Cricetulus griseus: one gene and its partners. The protein of the gene in region 3 interacts with the protein of the main gene of each other region in a biochemical or structural test. Links are inferred from orthologs where the notes say so. Each region holds a gene or a part of one and is shown on either strand. Other genes may lie near its edges. The genes, in order: Pou2af1, Hipk2 and Siah1.

Evidence for each region.
Region 1: the proteins of Siah1 (region 3) and Pou2af1 form a complex in vitro, tested with the Homo sapiens proteins (2 studies listed by BioGRID). The link is inferred for Cricetulus griseus from reciprocal best matches to the Homo sapiens genes SIAH1 and POU2AF1.
Region 2: of the proteins of Siah1 (region 3) and Hipk2, one has a biochemical effect on the other in vitro, tested with the Homo sapiens proteins (4 studies listed by BioGRID, with this or other methods). The link is inferred for Cricetulus griseus from reciprocal best matches to the Homo sapiens genes SIAH1 and HIPK2.

What each region holds. Positions count from the first base shown.
Region 1 is NC_048597.1:162,975,483-162,982,642, reverse strand, and holds the start of Pou2af1 (POU domain class 2-associating factor 1), read right to left. Parts: upstream 4,400-7,160; coding exon 4,255-4,399; intron 819-4,254; coding exon 688-818; intron 283-687; coding exon 240-282; intron 154-239; coding exon 1-153. UniProt on the Homo sapiens protein: Transcriptional coactivator that specifically associates with either POU2F1/OCT1 or POU2F2/OCT2. It boosts the POU2F1/OCT1 mediated promoter activity and to a lesser extent, that of POU2F2/OCT2. It recognizes the POU domains of POU2F1/OCT1 and POU2F2/OCT2.
Region 2 is NW_023276806.1:189,351,004-189,357,403, forward strand, and holds part of Hipk2 (homeodomain-interacting protein kinase 2), read left to right. Parts: intron 1-2,135; coding exon 2,136-3,219; intron 3,220-6,400.
Region 3 is NC_048596.1:162,342,261-162,349,243, forward strand, and holds the start of Siah1 (E3 ubiquitin-protein ligase SIAH1), read right to left. Parts: upstream 4,532-6,983; 5' UTR 3,324-4,531; coding exon 3,125-3,323; intron 468-3,124; coding exon 1-467. UniProt on the Homo sapiens protein: E3 ubiquitin-protein ligase that mediates ubiquitination and subsequent proteasomal degradation of target proteins.

The DNA of each region.
Region 1 (7,160 bases), on a different chromosome or scaffold from region 3:
TGACAGCTTCGTGGGACACATACTCCGTGTAGGGTGTCCATGAAGTCAAGGGCTGAAAGGTGGCTGGGGCAGGCTGGGAAAGCCAGCCAGCACACAATGTCCCCTCCTCTGTTACTGTGGAAGCAGAAACATCCATGTCAAGGCAGGAAGGACCTGTAGGGAAAAATGAAATTACAAAATGGCAGACTCTACCAGAGATGGTCCCCAAAGACACCAAGGCTGCAGAGAAGAGCTCTTACCCACTGTGCTGTAGGTTGCCAGGGGCTGGTGGGGCAGCACCACCTAGAAAGGGGATGAGAAGACCAGAATTGGTGTTTATCTATCTATAGCAAGCTCTCTGCAGGTGTGCCCAGGGGCCCAGGGTAGGAAAATGATAGGGGGAAATCTCCTGCCGCATACCTCAACCACCACCACCAGCATTTTTTTTTGAGGGATTTATGTTTCGATTTAGTAAGAAAGCTGTACAATTAGAGAAACTTTCTGAATCCCCAACTCATACCACGGTGTGAACCATTGGCTCCCTCAAGCCTCATCAATAGATATTTCCCACTTATGAATAAAAGCAAGAAACCCTACTATTCCCCTTACCACCCTGACAAGTGGAACTGCACACACACACACACACACACACACACACACACACACACACACACACTGCAGACACACTGCCCCACAACAGCCCCTCACCGCAGTAGGTGGGCCAGCTGTCCCACTGTTGGCATGGCCACGCTTTCTTCTCAGTAGCTCCTTCACTGGCTCCTTGACTCGAACACCCTGGTATGGCCGTGGTGGTGCAGGGGCTTGCTCTGGGGCTGTGGCTGTAAAGAGGAATGTCACTGGTCCCCTGACCTTTCACAGATGACCCCAACCACAAGTGCCCATTTTCTCTGGTGCCCAACTCTCTAAGTTGTACTTAACACAGAGAATCTCTGTGAGGCTCCCTGGGGTATTTCTCCCAAGACTCCATCTGCCCCCAAACTTTCTGGGGCTCTACTATTTGTCTAAAAGTGACAGGGCTTCCCAATGGGATCAGAACACCATTTTTCTGTCCTCTTTGCATGATACATAAAGTAGCTCCCAAAGAAGGCCTGGTTACACTCGTCAGCATGTTCTTGTGTGTTTCACCTCCCTATCTTCATTGCTATATCTGATAGCCAGAATTCTTATTCTGGGGCTACCTCTCTGGCTCCTGCAGACCATGGAGTTCCTACATCCACCTCTCCAACATGTCTAGAGTTGATTGGCATTCATATAAGTGGTAGTGAAGGATGACAATCACACCAAGAAGCCTTAAGTCAGGTATAGCTGGATCCAAATCCCATCTCAGTCACAATCTAGCTATGAGATCCTATAAAGTAATTACATTTCTCTGAGCCTCTTAATCTGTAGATTCTTATCAGATGAGTGTTGGTCAGAGTAAATGAAAACGTGTATGTATCATAGAAAATCGGGTTCAGAGCAACCATTTAGCTAACAGGGTTTCATTTGTTTCCTTGTCTCTTTATTTTGTTGGTGCTGCGGATATAACCCAGAGCCTTAGACATGTTAGGCAAGTGTTCTACCACTGAGCTACACCCTGTACCTCTCAAATTCAATCAATCTATGGCCTGCTAGGTAATGATTAGTTTTTCTTGTTCATGTGAGCTTAAAATGCTTCCAATGAGATTATAAGCTTCTTGATCTATTGTGCCTTGTCTCTGCCTTCTCAAGTGGCAGACATGCCTAAGTTATCTATATCTTAGTCTTGGCTGAACGTTAACTAATCATCTGGGAGGTGCTTTCAAATGTACTTCCTTTTATCATCCTTTCAACTCTCCTGGACCTTTAGGGTTAATGGACTGAAAAAAAAAAGTGTCTGCCAGGTGCATGGTGATCCTCAGTACAAGAGACAAATACCCAGTGATGATTCATGTGACCTGGAGTGGAGTGTCCACCTTGCTACTGGGAAAATGTTTCTGTTCCCTTTTGTCAAAAAATCCAAGAATCTAAAGTATCAACAAAACCAGAGCCAAGGTATAGCATTTTCTCTTGCTGGGAGATCAGAAACAAACTACCTATACAGATGGAAAGGCCCATGGAGGGCAGGCCAAGAGCTAGGTCACCCAAGATCAAGAAGCAATGGTCTCTGGGACTCACATAAGGAACCCATTATCCTCCACTGATAAGGGGCCAGGGACCCAGGCTTTGTATCAAAGGCCCGGAAGCCTGGGTATCTGTTCAACCCGGATCCACAGGGCAGCCTGAACTGAACTTTGTTCAGTAAACACCCAGCTGATAGTGATAACAATGTGTGCCTCATGCTGCCCAAGATCTCCCATGGGATTCTTAGGCTCCCAGCACCAACATGATCTGGTCTTGAAGGACAGGAGGCAAAGAAGCCATGCAGAGCCAGCAAGCAAAGGGGAATGACCTTTGGAGGCAGACCGTTAGTGTCAGGACCCCAGCTCTCAGACTAGGTATCAGACCTATATATGCTATGGTGTCCTAACTGACCACAGTGCAAAATCTACTGGAAACTGATGTAAAATACAGATACCTGGGATCTTGCTCCCCAGAAATATGGTTTGGACAATCCACTTAAGTCAAAGAGTCTGGATATATAAAAATTATGTAGATATATAAATTATATAAAAATGCCTGAGGTCATCTTCAAACCTGACTCTGATACTTCATCCCTTAGTTAACACAAGAGCTGCTCCATAACATCCCAGTAAGAGATGATCCTCGTGTTAGTGTCCTCTGTGATAAAAGGGAATCCCTACTCCCATCCTCATTCTTCCAAAAAGTTTCTGGACACACGTGGATGTGGGCCCTGCACATGTGGGTTGTAAAGTATAGCAGAGGAAAGAAGCAATACAATACCTACCAGTGAGATGAATGTAACAAATGAGAGGTTTGGGCTGACGTAAGAGCGTAAGAACCAGCATAGTATTTTGTGCCCTGAAACCACCTTCATCATTGTTCAAAACAGCAATGACAACAGACTTAACAGCCAAAACTACCTGCGTTCAAATATGGGCTGTCACTTACTAGTAGAAAATCCGCAGATTTATGTAATGACTCTAGGCCTCAATTTCCTTATCTGTAAAATGGAGACATGTTTTTAACTTCTCAGTGACATGTTTTTAACCTCAAATCTTCCTTCAGAGTGCAGCACTCCTGCACCAGCAATGCTTGTGCACCCTGTCCACAGAATACTGTTGAGTGCTACACACAGACACAAGTGTGTATGGACTGCCATGAGCGACAGTAAGGCATCTCTGCCGCTGCTTCATGCTGCTGCTGCTCCCTTCTCAGGATCATTCATGACCACAACAGTTTTCTTCACAGACATGTCACTCAATCTCTGCCTACCTCTTCTTAGGTTTCCTTCCATTCCTCAGGCACAGAGCCTAACTTGAGATACTGTACTCTCAGAAAAAAATAATGAGGTTTTGGACCAAAGGAAGGAGATGGTCTAAGTACTATGGTCACACCCTGAATTCAGTTGGGGAACACTATGCATACGTCTCAGTCCAGATCACAGACAGGAATGTTACCCATGGACCTCTGATTTGCATGTACAATTCTGGGGAAGGGCCTAGAGGCCTCCAGGTCCCATTCCCTCTCTGGTGCTATTTCCTCTCTTGAACTGGTCTAGTACAGCTGGGACACTCCCACAGCTCTGTGTCCTTAGACAGCTGACAAGGAATCCTGTAACTGGCTCCCTGAGCAGGCAGAAGTGGGGTTGCTTCTGAGGTGTCTCTGCAAAGCGCCTTGAAATATGAGAAGCCAAAGCATCAAGATGTCTGCCCAGGAGGCTCAATAGACAAGAATATTTGCAAACTGACAACTTGCAGTTGGGGTCTTTCACACTAATCTACATTAAGTAACAATCAGCATAATTCCCCAGTAAACACTGTGACCTCAGCTGCTGCCAGCACCAGAATGGAGCCCACTATGGAAATTTGGAAGAAGAAAAGAAGTTTGTCCAAAGTCACCATTGCTTTAACTTGGGGCTGCTGAGTCCTTGAACTGACATAACTTTGCAATAACTGCACTGAAATAGTTCAGGACTTTTTAAACAAAATATTAACATAATGTAAAATAGCAGTTTTTAAAATAGTATGTGAAGAGAATAAAGTAGAAATGGAAATAATACTGTATCATCAGAGAAGAAGAGCATCCAGACTAGTGATAAATAGAGAGTTTAATAATTCTCGAATCAAACTGCAGCTCTGGGCAGCCTTCTAGTAAAGCTAGATGGTTCCTCACCCTTCCTCCTGCGATGTGAAGAGCCCTTGAGCGTCTGTAGGCCTGAAGAGTCCATCACAATGGAAAACCAGTCCATCTGAACATAACCTCTGGCAATCTCTTTGGACAGGAGTTCACCATACTGCCTTTCTTTACTATTGCCCATAAACTGCCAATGTATTCCAGGAAGAAAAAAAAAGTTTTAAAAGGCTAGTTGATAGCAAAACACACCCATTTGGTCACAGACATAAGAGAGAGCTTCCTTTTTCCAAAAAGAGCAGTAAAAGATCTAGAGGCATAAACAGTCGGCAGAGGGCATTTCACTTCCCCTGTCACACACCCAGACCTGCTGCAGGAATCCTGGGGCTGCCATTCCACCACAGCACAACAGTTTGAAACCAACAGGTTATATAGCTACCTGTATGCACAGTGGCATCAGTACTCAGGCTCCACCAGGCTGAGAGAACACAGGTTCCTTCTGAGTTAAATAAGCACTCGGGTTTTCTCAATGAAGGCATAATAAAATCTCACTAAGGAAATATGCAAACCCATCAGCACCTATTTATTTAATAACCCCATGCAAACCACAATACACATCCCACTCAACTAAAGAGCCAGGAGCCAGGTCCTAGTCATCAGTAACTTGTCTTTCAGAATAGCTTTAAAAGAGCCCATGTCCATCAGGTGTTTTCTGAGAGAAGAGCCTTGCCTCACACATTGAGATTTCCCATGGGTCCCCAGACAAGCAACAGACTGGATAACAGTTAAGAGCTCTACCCTAAAAACGGTGTAATATGCAGGTTAAACTGGGATTTACATCGTAGGGAGCCACAGAACAGGCATCCTCACAGCTCTAGGAGCCTTTCTGTCCCAGATTGACAGACTGCTCAAGGTTGAATTCATAACTAGTTGAACCTCAGGGGTCACTTTGAAAGATGAAAGCCACCTAGATGAGAAGGTCACATGACCCATACTATCACTTAAGACAGTTCTGGTATCAATCCCCACCCCATAACCACTTTGAATGTTTTCTTTCACTGCTGGTGTTCAATTTTATCCAAAAGAAAATAGAGCTCATTAAGGAGAAAGACAACTAACACTCTCTTTACTTGTAGCAAAACCAAAACAAATAATTGAACAATAGGACTTCAAGCCTAGGGCTAACGAACTTGTCCCAGCTTCTACTGAAAACAAAATCTGAAAACTTGCTGACACTTTAATGTGAAGAGTCTTGTTTGTCTTGGTGGCCTGAGATAGCTGAGGTCTTCTGGGAAACTTGAGCTCAGGTAGGCCACAGGCTTATTCACATTCTTTACGGAAATGCTGCTGCAGGTGCTCTTCTTAGAGTCAAGTTCTCAAGGTTTTCAAATTTACCATTTTCATTTATGGAGACTAGCTGATACTTTTTTCCAAACAGGAAGAAAGTTGTTCTTTGGCCAGAAGGACTTGACAGACTACAGAAAGATTTTCCTGTCCAATTTACACCAAATTGAATTATAGGTGTCCCACCCCATGACCTCAGGCAAAGCCAGCCACAGGTCTCTGGTGTGGAGTTCTCTATGTGATGAGGTTCCTTGACTCTTTACTCACAAATACCACCAGCCAGGATTCCTTTCCCCTGGTGCCCACTGTGCCTTCCACGCCACCTGTCTACCCTGTTTCCAAATCCACTGTGGAGTAGCAGGATGCAGAAAGCTGCAGCAGATATCTCTCTGTATGTATACCCATTTAATGATGAATGAATGGTGGCAATAGTCAATGTGTTTTCTGGTCATAATCTTAACTCCCAGAAATTGGGAAATCCTCACCTACAGTTTTGTGATGTTCTGTGGTGTAGTTCTCAGAGCCTCTGACACAAATGATATCATGGGAGGCTGCATCCCAACCTCTGAAATAAGCAAAAGATGAAATTTACTCTCCTTCCCTTCTTTTACTGATGTAGAGGGTGCTGCTCATTTGAACGCATTGAATTGTTCAAGGACAGCATTCATCAGTACCGGTGTCATCAACCAAATTCAAGATTTCTGATTCCAACATAGACCTTGTTTTTGCCTCACCATGCACCTTCTTCTTGCCTCTATATGCCCCATTTTTTCTTCTATGTGGTGTTGAAGGTTGGTCATCTAAAGGTCCCTGAGCCAATCCTAACCTTCCTTCCTCCAGTTGGAATATTGGCTTGGACCATGCGATCCTGTCTCTCTTGATGGCCAATTCTCTGAAAACAATGGTGGTTTCCAGGTGATAGAGGCCTCCACAAGAAACTTGCCAAAAGTCTACTCACAAGAGGAATGACAAGAACCGAGAGACTCAATTCCTGGCAAGGTTTTATTTTGGGTATTTTTCTACTGAAATGACAGCAAATAGGTCCACCTGAGAAACCAGCTGCATCTGTCTGCCTTTTATAGAAACTAAGGTCACCAGAGCAGAAAGGGTTCCTATCTCAGATACACCATGTCTGATTCAGGGCCAAGACCAAGAGACATCTGGTAGACCAGTTATCTAGCAAATACTTGTTGAGCAGATCAGACTAGGTCCCTGCCCTTGGGGAACTTGCAATCTATTCAGGTGGGATATGTAGACTTTACTGAACTAATCACACAAGCAAATCTAGAATTACAAAAATGTGATGAAGCTATATCTGCTTTAGAACTGCAGAGTTCTAACTTCTGCTTCCACCTGATTCAGTAACGCTTGAATGGGCAGCAAGCTGTCTCTAGAGGCTATATAAAGAGGGAAGAGGCAAGAGGCATGACAGGCAGTTCTCTCTTCGGTGTAGAGACTGACCCGGGGTCACTGGTTTGGACCATACCATGAGTATAAGTCTCAACCAAGACACTCAAAGTTACAGACCCTGGGTGGACACTCAGGATCTTTCACCAGCTGCTGTTTGTCCTTGGCTGATTAACCTATCAGAAGAACAGTCCCAC
Region 2 (6,400 bases), on a different chromosome or scaffold from region 3:
AGACTGACCTTGGAATTCTGGGCAAAGTAGGTGGGTATCTGCTGAACAGAGAGAGGATCAGGGGACAAGTGATGGGGTCAAGAGGGAGATGTCAAAGAAACACTCAGAGAGGAACTGAAGCTAGATGGTTTAGTGCCAGTGACGCTTGACAGACTCTCCACTTTCTAACCGCATTTGTAAGAAATGGTGGGGCTGGGAGCTGGCTCATCAGTATGACATGTAAGCACGGGGACTTGAGTTCCATCCTTAGCATTCACCTAGAAAGCCAGGTGGTTGTAACCCAAACTCTGGGGAGGTGGAGACAGGAAGATCTCTGAGGCTTGCTGGCCAGCCAGTCTAGTTGAATTGGTGAGGCACAGATTCACTGAGACTTGTCTCCCAAAATATGGTGCCTGAGGAAGACACCTGTTATCAACTTCTGGTGTCTGTACACACATGCGTGCACATTCAGACATGAGTGTTCATATAAACACACACATACTTGCACAAAATGGTTATCAGAGGCAGCTTAGAAAGTGATTGTTCTTGTACCTTTAAGGGTTTTACCTTTCCTATCACTGTAGTGTTTTTTCATATATATATATAAATTTTTAAATATATATATATTTAAAAAATTTTCCAATATCACCATAATTATAAATTGTATAGCTACTCCAGAAAGACCTTAAATAGTTCCAAGATTATCTAGGTTATAGATATGTCAGTCTGAAATCATAGTTCTTTCTTTCTCTCAACTTCCACTGTATATGTGTGTGTGTGTGTGTGTGTGCGCGCGTGCGTGCGTGCGTGTGTACAGGTACAAGTTGACATCTGTGCCTCCTTTAATATATAAACTTTACATATATATATGCATATATATATATATATATATATATATTGAGATGAGGTCTCTGAGTGAATCTGGAACTCACCAATTAGGCTAGACTGGCTGGCCAATAAACCCCAAAGAATCCAAATCCATGCCCAACTTCTCTCTCTCTCTCTCTCTCTCTCTCTCTCTCTCTCTGTGTGTGTCTGTCTGTCTGTCTGTCTGTCTGTCAATGCTAGAAATCATGTTCAGTCCTTTATGCTGTATTGTGAACACTTTATCTAGAGTGAGCTATCTCCCCAGGTCTAAAATATCAGGACTTTCTAGAAAAATTTATTAATGTATATGAATGGTGCTACTTGGCCCTGTCTGAAAAGTGATGCATGTTTTTAAGCCAGCTAAACACCAAATTATCTATCTGCAGCCCTATAGAATTCAAGAAGACCAGGAGGCCAGGTGGTAGGGAGTATGTCTCATTCAGAACACAGAATATCATGAGAATCCCTGTGATGAGATTTGTGTGGGAACATGGTTCTTAAGAGTAGTAAACCTGGTTATTAGGTTCTATTGAGAAGGCTAAGCTCACTACACAGAGGAGCTAAGTTTGTAATACTTACAAATGTAATACTTACCTGGGTACTTGATAGAGTCTCCAGATTTAGCAAGATACAACCTGAATAGGAATGAAGAATTGGTTTCTGTTACAGGTATAGTTCCAAGAAATAAATGATAGACTAAGTCCCAGTTCTGACTCTCAACTCTATTCCTGAGTTTCCTACCCTCCTAAGGCTGGTAGGTCTAATGGCAGAACATGGGAACCATTAGTCTCTCAAACAAGGAGTCCAGAATGTGCTTCTGAGTGGAATTGACTTGCTTTCTCAAGATGCTGTATTTTTAAGTCATTATGCATGCATGTGTGTGCATGTGTGTGCACATGAAGACCAAGAAACGTGTGGAGACCACAGGACAACACTAGGTGTTAGGCCTTACTTTTGGCCTTGTTTGAGAGATGGTCTCCTGTTCATTGTTGCATATGCCAGATTAGCTAGCCTGTGAGCTTCTGGAAACTTTCCTGTCTATGTCACCTATCTTGGTGTGGGAGTTTTGGGGTCACAGGTACATGTGACTGTGCCCAGCTTTCATGAGTTCTGGGGATCTGAATTCCAGTGCTTATACTTCAGAGCAGTACTTTACCCACTAGTCCATCTCCCTGGTCCTCAAGCTTTTGAAGGGGAAGGACAATCTGGCCAGAGCCTAAATGAATCAGTGGAGTTTATTCATGGAGGGGTAACTCAGATATTTATTTTTCCCTTTCCTTTCCGCATAGGCATGGCCTCACATGTGCAAGTTTTCTCCCCTCACACCCTTCAATCAAGTGCCTTCTGTAGTGTGAAGAAACTTAAAGTAGAGCCAAGTTCCAACTGGGACATGACTGGGTACGGCTCCCACAGCAAAGTGTACAGCCAGAGCAAGAACATAGCACCTTCTCAGCCAGCCTCCACAACCGTCAGCACCTCCTTGCCAGTCCCAAACCCAAGCCTACCTTACGAGCAGACCATCATCTTCCCAGGAAGTACTGGACACATAGTTGTAACATCAGCAAGTAGCGCTTCTGTCGCCGGGCAAGTCCTTGGCGGACCACACAACCTAATGCGTCGAAGCACTGTGAGCCTCCTTGACACCTACCAAAAATGTGGACTCAAGCGAAAGAGTGAGGAGATTGAGAACACTAGCAGTGTGCAGATCATTGAAGAGCATCCACCCATGATTCAGAATAATGCCAGCGGGGCCACTGTAGCCACTGCCACCACATCCACCGCCACCTCCAAAAACAGCGGCTCCAACAGCGAAGGTGACTATCAGCTGGTGCAGCATGAAGTACTGTGCTCCATGACCAACACCTATGAGGTTTTAGAGTTTTTGGGCAGAGGGACATTTGGGCAAGTGGTCAAGTGCTGGAAACGGGGCACCAATGAAATTGTAGCCATTAAGATCCTAAAGAACCACCCTTCCTATGCCCGGCAAGGTCAGATTGAAGTGAGCATCCTAGCCCGGCTGAGCACAGAGAGTGCTGACGACTACAACTTTGTTCGGGCCTATGAATGCTTCCAACACAAGAATCACACATGCTTAGTCTTTGAGATGTTGGAGCAGAACCTCTATGACTTTCTGAAACAGAACAAGTTTAGCCCCTTGCCCCTCAAATACATTCGCCCAGTCCTCCAGCAGGTAGCTACAGCCCTGATGAAACTAAAAAGCCTGGGTCTTATCCATGCTGACCTCAAACCAGAAAACATCATGCTGGTAGATCCATCCAGACAGCCATACCGAGTGAAGGTCATTGACTTTGGTTCAGCCAGTCACGTGTCCAAAGCCGTCTGCTCTACCTACTTGCAATCTAGATACTACAGGTAAGACTTTTTCCATGGAGATGGTCATAGGGTGCAGGAGGTCCAGTGGCATCCCCAGGGATGTAGAGAGTCACTTTGGGGAAGATACCAACATAGCTAGTGGTTGCCGCCAGAAAGAGATCTTAATACGGAGGCTGGAGAGATGGCGTAGTGGCTAAGAGCACTTGCTGCTCATACACAGGACTTTAGTTTGGTTCCCAGCACCCACGTGGCAGCTCACAACTATCAGTAAATCTAGTTCCAGGGGATCCATCACCCTCTTACGGACTTCAGACATTTATATGATATACATACATGCATTCAGGCTATTATGCACAAAAATAAATGTGAGAGACCTTAATGTAGTTGAAAAATTAGAATACATGCAGATGGGAATGACAATGAGAAGCCAGCTAAGGAGCCATCCAAGTAACATTCTTGGTCTGGTATTGGAGTTGAAAAGGATTGTGGGAGCCAGATGGAGAGCATAGTGGAGAAGTCAGGTTCTTTGGGATGGAGAGAATCCAGATAGCTAGAACAGGAAGGATGTGCCAATAATAGACACAGGGTAGCAAAATATAAGACTAGTTTAGGAGATGAGGATGAACTGCCTGGCCAGATCAGAGGATTTGTGAGTAATGCATGGAACAAGTTCTGGAAACTTCGAATGAGCAAGGCTTTGTGGGGGAGGGGAGTGGTATTGGGGGAGGGTGCAATAGGTTGATAGCAGTGTTCTAAGAAGACTATTATGCTCCTGTGGCAAAGGCTGGAGGAAGGGAAGAGCTTTGTCCTGGGGCCAGTTGCTGCCTCCTGTGTTACGTTTATGTCAGGAAACATCTACGCGGAAACATTATAAGGAAATACCTAAGACTGTATAATTTTGTAAAGGAAAAAGGTTTATTTAGCTCAAGTTCTGAAAGTTCAAGGTCATGATGCCATCAACAGCCTTATAGTCGATGGCCTCACAGTGGTGGGAGCGTGCATGGGAGTAAGAGACTCAGGTGAGCTTCAAGCTTTTAAGACAACTTTTACTGAAGAGAACTAACTCAGGGGTTTATAACCTTAATTCCTGCCAAGGACGCACTGATCAGGAGCTTCCACTGGACTGGACCACCTCCCACCATCACTATACTGAGGACCATTCTTTGAACTGATGACCCTTGGTGGGGGGGGCGGGGACGACAAACTACACTCTAGCAAGAAAACTTGCACATTCAGACAGCACACAAGTGTTTGTCTCATTTCTGATGTGGGCCTTGCACAATGCTAGCTGGCTCCAAGGTTGTAAATTGGGCTCTGGACCCCCAGGAGTCCCCAGAAGGCTTTGGCATCACTGGAACCCAGAACTGGGTTGATCCCTACACTCGTTAGCTGTGTGATTTGTGCTCACTGCCTAACTTCTATATATTCTCATTTCCTGACCTATGACTGGAAGCGGGGGCAAGGGGGAACTTTATACCAGTTCTAGGGTGCTGTTGAACCATCACATGTTGTGATATAGCCTGGTGCTGTGTGCTATGTGGGAGACACAGGGCCAGAAGTGGTAGAAATGGAGAGGGGGTTTCAGGGTTGTGGAATGGCAAAGGGCCGTGCTGGAAGTAGTAGTGACCAGTCCCACGGCAGAAAGTGGAAAGAAAAGAAACTCAAAATTCCCATGAAAAAGTAGGAGAATCCCAGGACTTCCTGTCCCACACCCTGATGGAGGATATGCTTTCCCACGCCTTCTTCAAGGACCTAGTGGGAAGACTGGGCAGACTTGAGCTGTGCTAACACCGCTGGCCTACGACCTCTTCTGAGAGCTGACTGCCAGCCTGTCTGCTTGGTCTCCCCTGCCTTGACTTGCTCCTCTTCCTGAGCCCAGTCACTGCTTGCAGCACTGTTGCGTGTCTCCTCCTGTTCTGTCTGTGCTCTCCCACCCTCGGCCCTCAGTCATTCCTTCCTTTCTGCCTTGTTGTGTTTTAATCTGACTCAGAGCGCGGGTCTCGAGTCTTCTCCATTCCTCTTAAGAGGGATTCCTGAGTTCAGATTCCTAGCTCTGGAATCTGAGATGGGACAGTGATGGCTTTCTCTCTGAATTCAGACATACATACTGCCCTCTGCTCTTAAGAGGAGTTCTCACAGGCTTCTACATACTTGTGAGGATAAATCTACCCCTGCTCGATTTCTTTCCCCCATTCAGCCTGGGGGAGCCATGGGCCCACTGCTGGGGCCACCCAGGAAGGTGGAGGCTGGACAGTGGGAAACTACCTTCCTTGGTAAAGAAGGAGGCCAAAAGCCAGTGCTCTCTTGAGAGTGCCTGGCCCTTCCTGGAAAGCCAACTCAGGATGGTTCCATACAGGGAACCTCTTGCCCCAGGGGTGGCTATTGCTGGAGTGCTCTCTAGTTACTGTAAAATGGAGGCTGCTGCCGCCGCTTTGTATTTAAACTTAATGAATTCAGGGTGCCAAAGGCTATTTTTTTCCCAGTTCTTGGCCTGAAGATAGGGAACACTGTGCCAAGTCAAGGGCTGTGTGAAGTTTTATTACTTAGTTAACCTGTATTGCTTTTAGTGAACAGAATCCAGCTTCACTGAAGTTTGCTAAAAATTAAGCATGGAGACTAACTATATTTAATAAGCAATGCATCCTTGTAGCAAAATGTGACTCAAGTTACATTTGGGATTCTGAAACCTTTTCTGTATTGTTGCCCTCTTGTGCCAGCCACTGTCACTCAGCCCACTATCTGCCTCTCAGAAAGGACGTTCTGAGCTAGGATGGCTGTAACATTTCCATGGGAACTGGGGCAGGACTAAATCCTCTACTTGAACTTCATATCCCTCCTCACCAACTTTGAGGCCTAATCAGCCATTTGAGCACCTCATGGGGTGATAAAGCCTGCTTGCTTATTGTCAGGCACTTAGGAGCTCTCGACTGTCATTCCTCAACAGGCACAGTCACCTCTGCTTCCTGCATCCTTACTTCTTTCTGAGATACCTTCTTCCTGGGTGTCTTTCCTTAGGCTTTAAGTGACTAGTATCTAGTACGAGGCAGAATGGTTTCCCTCTCCCCCAGGGTCTCCATGGTCTTGTGTCCTCAAAGGCCAGCTAGCTAGGCAACCTTCAATTAGGGTCAGGGGCACACGGTTCTGGAATGATGCTTGATTTCCAAACTAGTCATGATACTCTACCCACCACAGGCCTCATCTGGGTCCTGGCATGGCCAGT
Region 3 (6,983 bases):
AATGGACTTGTGCTGATGCATCAGGTGGGGCATAACAGCATCCAAGGAGCCTTGCCACTTACAGGAAGCACCAGGGCAGGGGCAGGAGTAAGGCCTGAACTCACAGAGCTCCTCGTGCTCTGCCTTTTCTGTGTGCGGCAGAGTTATTTCACATCCAGAAGAGGCATATTTACAAGGGAAAAGTACTGAATTGGCCACTTTCTCCATAGCCAAGTTGCGAATGGATCCCAATGGGCCCCGGCAGGTCGGACAACATGTGAGTTTGGGGCGACAGTTGCTACAAACAAGATGGCCACTCTGACACTGAAGAATGGGTGGCAACACATAGTCAAAGCAGACAGGACACTCAAAAAGACTCGCCAAGTCATTGTTGGATGCAGTTGTGCCAGTCAGGGCAGGTACCCTCTGGGACGGCGGACACTTTGAGGTGCCAGTGGGTAATGCTGTAGCAGTCTGACGGCTCATTTCTGTAATGAAAAACAAGAAAATAAAAGGAGGCAGGAGAAAGTTATAACTATAACACATTTATAGATAATGTACACATGTCATAAATACTTGTCATGAGCAGAAGAATAAAGTTAAATAAATATGGTTTTAAAACTATATACAAATAAAATAAAAATTAACATGCTAAAGGTGAATTTTATTTACATAATGAGTAAACCATATTTCAAAATGTTGTATAGCATGCTTAAAATACCTTCCTGTTTAAAAAAAGTTATGAAAACCTCCAGGTGGGCTACATAAATAAGAAGTGCAACCAGGCAGTGTTGGCGCACGCCTTTAATCCCAGCACTTAGGAGGCACAGGCAGGTGGATCTCTGTGAGTTCAAGGCCAGCCTGGTCTACAGCTCAAGTTCCAGGACAGCCTCCAAAGCTACAGAGAAACCCTGTCTCAAAAAACAAACAAAAAGAATGTAAATATAGCCATGCCTTTAAGCCCAACACTCAGGAGGCAGAAGGAGTTAGATTTCTGAGTTTGAGGTCAGTCTGGTCTATAAAGCAAGTTCCCAGACAACCAGGGCTACACAGAGAAGTCCTATAAAAAAAAAAAAAAAAAAAAAAAATGTAAGGCTGGAGAGATGGTCCAGCAGTTAAGAACACTGCTGAGAGGACCAGGGTTCAAATCCTAGTACCCAAATGCAGGTTCAAGAGAGGCCTCCAGGGAACTACATACATGTGGTGCACAGACACATGCAGGCAAAACACCCATACACATAAAATGAAAATATTTTTTTTTAAAGAAGACCTTAAATACAACATAAGACCTATTTGGGCTGGACTTTTTCTCCCCAGAGTTCCCACCTCTGTCTACTTCTCAAGTCTGAGTTAACTCTCACAGCTTCAGGACCTACAGCCCGAGTCCTATGTAGTCCATATGCCAAAGGATATCAGAGCCAGACTGATTCTTTCCAGCAGGGAGCAGCATCTTCTGGAGAGCTGTGTTCTGGGAATGGGGCTCGGAGGGCCCAGGGAAAGGAAGAGTTGGCATCCCACTATCCACCTGCAGCTACCTACCTACTGGGTCTTCTTTCAAATCAGCGAGACATCATTTTGTCTCCTGTCAATCAGTACCCACCTCCAGGCTGAAGCAACAGGAAGAAGTGGAAAACCATCGTTCAGTAAGTTATTGTATTTAAGGAAGTCCTTATTCTACCTTTTTAAAATGGACACGGTTGTATTCTAAAAAAACTTTACTTATAAAAAAAGAAGAAAGTCCTTATTCTACTTCCATTCTGCAGCACAAATCTCATGTAACATGCAAAGGGAAGGGAAAGTCAGGAAACAATAGGAGGAAGTAAGGGTAAAAGCATCACACAGACACAAACACAGGATGGGGAGAGGGGCAGACTCAATAAGCAAAGAACTCCCCTGCACCCTTGGGTTCCCTGTGTGGCTGCAGCAAACACCAACTATACACACTGATTTCAGAGTCATCTGGAGGAAGGACCAGCCAGTGACAGTCAAGCACAATAAGCTCCTTTCCCCAGGACTCTGCCTCTGGGGAATTTGGCAGGGTGCAATTTATCTCAGACGTTGACAAAAGATCAATGTCCTAATAGTGCACTCCCTGAGACCACACTAAATAATATAGTAATTCTCCCAGTTATAATCACTCTGTTGCAAAGACCTTTAAGTTTCAAAAAAACTGAAGTTACAAATGTAACCAAGTCAATACAAATGGAATTTTAGTAGACAGTAACATTGTAAATAAGGGGGCTAAGAGCAGCACTGGAGGTTTAATTTTTTTTCTTTTGTTACTAAAGCAATACTAGCAAGTTCAAAGGGCAAAACAGTACTAACAAATGTTTAGCTTGCCTATATCCCTTGGTTTCATCTCCAACACATACAGTATGACAAAACTCCACCACAACAGCTCAGACTCATGGAGGAATACAACATGAATTAGCTCTCATCATCTGAAGCCCTGTGATCCAGGTGTCATAATAAAATGGCCCCTCTGTATTCTACTTTCCACCTGATCAAATTCTTTATGCAGCTGATTTATCCACTTTAGGTCAATGGCCTTGGCATTACCAAAGCCATGGGTTTCCCATCTGCTTCACCATGTTAACTGTGGCTCACTTAAAAGAACACAGATTTTGGAAAGTGATTTCTCGAAACAAACAGTTCCGGTCACATCAAAGAGCTCAGTTTATATTTAAACACAATATAGCCAAGTTCAGAAGAAAAACACTAGCCCAGTGCTTTGACCTGGCAAAACACCTCTAACACTTATCAGTGTAAGTTTGGGTTCATGTTACATCGTATTTTTATTGCCTTCCAAACACTAGAGAAAGCACACTGATATTCTACCCAGCATGATAAACAAAATGTGGTTGGAAGTATGACAGCACAGATAACTGCTACACCATTCCCTAGTTAGAAGGATGGAGTGTGGCTCCATCTTGAGCCACAAAGCCTCTCATCCACAAGCAGCTGCAAGGTAGAAACCAAGGACAAGTCCACAGAAGTCTGGACACACCTGAAAAGCTAGATTTAAGCAGGAGTTGCCACAGCTCCACTGAGCCCTCAATGCCGACTTTCACCAAGCCTAAACCAGAATCTATGGATTCGTGCAGTCCAGTTTCTGTCTCGGAAACAGATGTGTTTACGTCAGTACCTTTCCTCTTCCTGGTCCTGGTCCTAACTGTCGGCAAGCATGCGAGCAGGACTCCCTTCCAGGAATGCAGAAGGGGTTCGGGCGGCTTCCAGGTCATAAGAATCGAGGCGTCAGGTTCCTGCAAGCCACAAGGCCAGCCTGCACCAGAGGACCCTGCAAGGCCCTTGGCTCCTAAGCATAGAAGGCTGCTCACTTCCATTCAGTCTTAAGACCTGTCCCCAGGAGAGACAACACCTCCCATGAACTCTAAACTGGGTGGTCAGCAGAAGATGGCCAGCAGCTCTGGCGTCCTGCTGCTTAGGCTCCACCACCTGGCAGGCCCTGGGGCAGGGCCTCGAGAAGGGGCGGACCTCGCTCCAAGCCCCGCCCCACAGACCACCTGGACAGCTCTGGCAGACGCCACGGCAACATGAAGCCTGTGCACTTGGCAGCACTTAAGTCCCGTAGAACATGTTTCCGGAGGTCAGGATCTCAGTGCTTTCCTAAGTCTCTAGGGTAAGAAACACACAGGGAGGAAGGGAAATGCGCAACCAGGCAAGCACTCCTAATGTCAGCTTTGTCCTGTGAATTCTCAAGAAAAACATTCCCCCCCACAACTCACTCAATATTTCCAGGCCTCAACTACTATTTTCCTCAATTCTAACTCTGCCGCTTGTGTGCCAATCTATTTCAAATGCCCCCTTCCAGTGCAGTGAGAATGTAAACACACTCAGGGCATGTAAACCTCCACTTCTACCTCCAAATTGAGGTTATATATTCATCCCACTCTGGGAAAGTTTTCTTAACTGGCCTCATTAAACTAGAGTAGCTTGCCTTGTTTTTAAACAAGCACTACCCTTGGCCCATAAAGTCCTATACACTTCAGACCTGGATGGTGTCAGCTGAATCTTCAAAGCTTAAGCTGGTATTACATCACACTTAGGACAATCTTCAAATACAACCAGAAACTGGCAGTGAGTGCCCCAATACAATGGGTTTCACACACCTTCTGCAACTTCAACTCCAACCACTTGCCCACCTTTATTGTATTCAATCACTTCCACCTAACTGTTTAATACTAGACTACAACAAACAGCTTTAAGAACAGAAATATAAACTACACATTCTAAATTGCACATCAAGCCTATTTTGGCATTAAGTTTAAATAGCTATTATCTAAAAGGAAATAAATAGTATTAATGCCTTTAATTTTGTCACAACATTTTTAGGGCATTTAGCCACATTTTGTTGTTGTTCTTTTGGGAGAATTTTTGTTTGTGGAGGCAGGACTCACTCAATCATCCTAGACTACCACTGATTTCTAAGAGTCTGAAAATGACTTTGAACTTCTGATAATCCAGCTTTCACCAACTTCCAGTGAGTACTGGGACTGCTCACCACCACACCTAGTTTTGTGTGGTGCCACACCTTTGGAAAAACTAAGCAAGCACTCCACCAACTGAGCTATGTCCCCAGCTCATATACATTTGTTAATGTGCATGGGTGTTTTGCCTGCATGTGTATATATACACCACCTGCATGCATGATGCCAGCAGAGGCCAGTAGAGGGCATAGGATATCCTGGAACTGGAGTTTGGACAGTTATGAGCCATTATTTAGGTACTGAAAAACATCCAAAAGAGTAGCAAGTGCTCTTATCTGTTGAGCCATCTCTCTAAGTCTTGCACTCTTTATTTAAAGAAAATAAAAAGGTAGAATACCAAGACTGCTCACCCCTTAATTTCCCTAAAATTCTTAGAAATTACATGTTTATTATAAAGTTACAATGCTAAGGGTTATAGATGAGTGATGTGAGGTCTAAACCCCGAAGACACGTAGTTAACTGAGGTGCTTATTTAACATACAAATTGGACTTGGCTGCCAGGTTTTCCCTGCATCCCTCAGTCCCTACCTGTTACAGGGTATGGCTGGCACACCCCACCTCCTACCCTACATTTCTCCAGCCCAGGGGCTGAGCTGCCCTTCCCTATATAATCCAGCCTTTTTGGTTACATGCACACCCTCACTGTCTATCCTGTACTCTCCTGGCTCTCCTCCCCCCCTTTCCTCTCTCCTAACATGACCTGGCTCAGGGTCATGTTCACTCTGGACTCTCCTAGATATCCCTGCCTCTGGCTATGCTCTCCCTTTTATCTATAATAAACCTCCCCTCCACCATACCTAGGAGCAGTCATATCCTTCCTTTTTAATTTCATTTTTTTTTCATTCATCCGGTACCCACAGCCGGGAATGGCATAGATGAGCTCCCTTCCAAGTACCTGGGCTGCTCTGAATCAAGCTGCTGATTTGCCTCTCCTAAGGTTTGTAGAGATCACTTGTTTCCAATAACTCCTGTCATCTATCAAATTTGACCCCAAATTCTAGAGTCCGCTGTCTCACTACTTCTCCCCCAACGCCCACATGCTCTAACCACGCCTGTCCTTGTCTATGCCATGAATGTATCTCTGACTCCTAGGGCCTTCTCCATCTCCCAAGGAACCCAGCCACCTGGACACTGGCCTCACATCGCAGCTCCACCGGCTACATCTGTCTGGATCTCTACCAAGGACACTTACCGTCTCCCTTTTCCCCTGCTCGCCCATCTCTCTTTACTGGGTAAGTGTCACCTCAAGCTGCCTCCTTTGTCTACTATTACTACAAAAGCCACACCAGGGTGACAGGAAGCTCCTCTCGCCCTATTTAGGCCCCAGTCACATGGGAAGGACACCTTTCCTCTGGGATTTGGAACACTTTTCTCCCTGACAAGTTTCCCATTCCCCTTGAGGACACCCTGGATGGAAATTCTTGTCACAAAGGCTCTTTATCCACCTCAGTTCAGTTGCATTCTCTCCCCTCCCCCTAGGCCCTGTAGTCCATCCTGCAGGCCACCACTCTCTCAGGTCCTGCTGTAGTACCTAGTTTTTTCTTTCAGCTCCCTCCTAAAGTCTCCTTGACCCTCTGCAGCTTCCTGCTCTGTCTCTTCCTTAAGCCCTCCCAGGCCTCTCCCAGCAACTCGGAAGCTTCTCTAAGCCTGAGCCCACCTGGGCCTCTATACACTCTCACTCAGCAACTTTTGGGAGTTTATAGAAAAGTCCTCTGAGGGTGGAGTTTCATTTCTCAACATCCGGACTATAAACAACTTGGCCTCAGTACCAATGGCCAAACATTGGCACACTTGATTTCCAAATCCTCACAAATCGTAACAACTGTCACAGCATAAACAAATGATCCCCAAATCTCTCTTATCTAAACTAGCTCTGCTCTACACTTCTACTTCCTACTCTTAAAAATCTTTAGCTCTACAATTTCTCCTTGCTCTGCTATCAAAGTCTCTTAAGACTATGCTGTAAATTCTCTCAGGATTTGTAAGTTCATTGGGTATGGTTAAAAATGATCTATAAATCTGTAACAAAACTTGGCTTTAAACTTATAACAAAAGGCTTATAATTAAAATCTACACATAGGCAATCTTAATAATTTGCTACAAGTTACTATACATGTGATTCAACTCTTGTTTAGAACATACTGCATATGTACTTAGATTCAACTCTTTTTTGTTTGTTTTTTCAAGACAGGGTTCTCTGTGTAGCCTTGACTTCTGCTTCCTGAGTACTGGGAGTAAAGGTGTGCACCATCACGGCCCAGTTGGATTCAACTCTTGAATAAAAAATAAAAAGTGATCTACAAAAAAAATAAACCTTTAAATAACAGCTCCATGGCTGGCAGCCATCTTTACTAGGGTTAAAAGGTATATGCCAAGGGACTTAACCACCATCTTATGATGACCATATAAAATAAGCCAATTAAGGCAACACCTATACTTCTTTTTAGTCCTACTGAGCCCTCTGTTTCCCCTTTTAGACTAATGAAACAACAACAG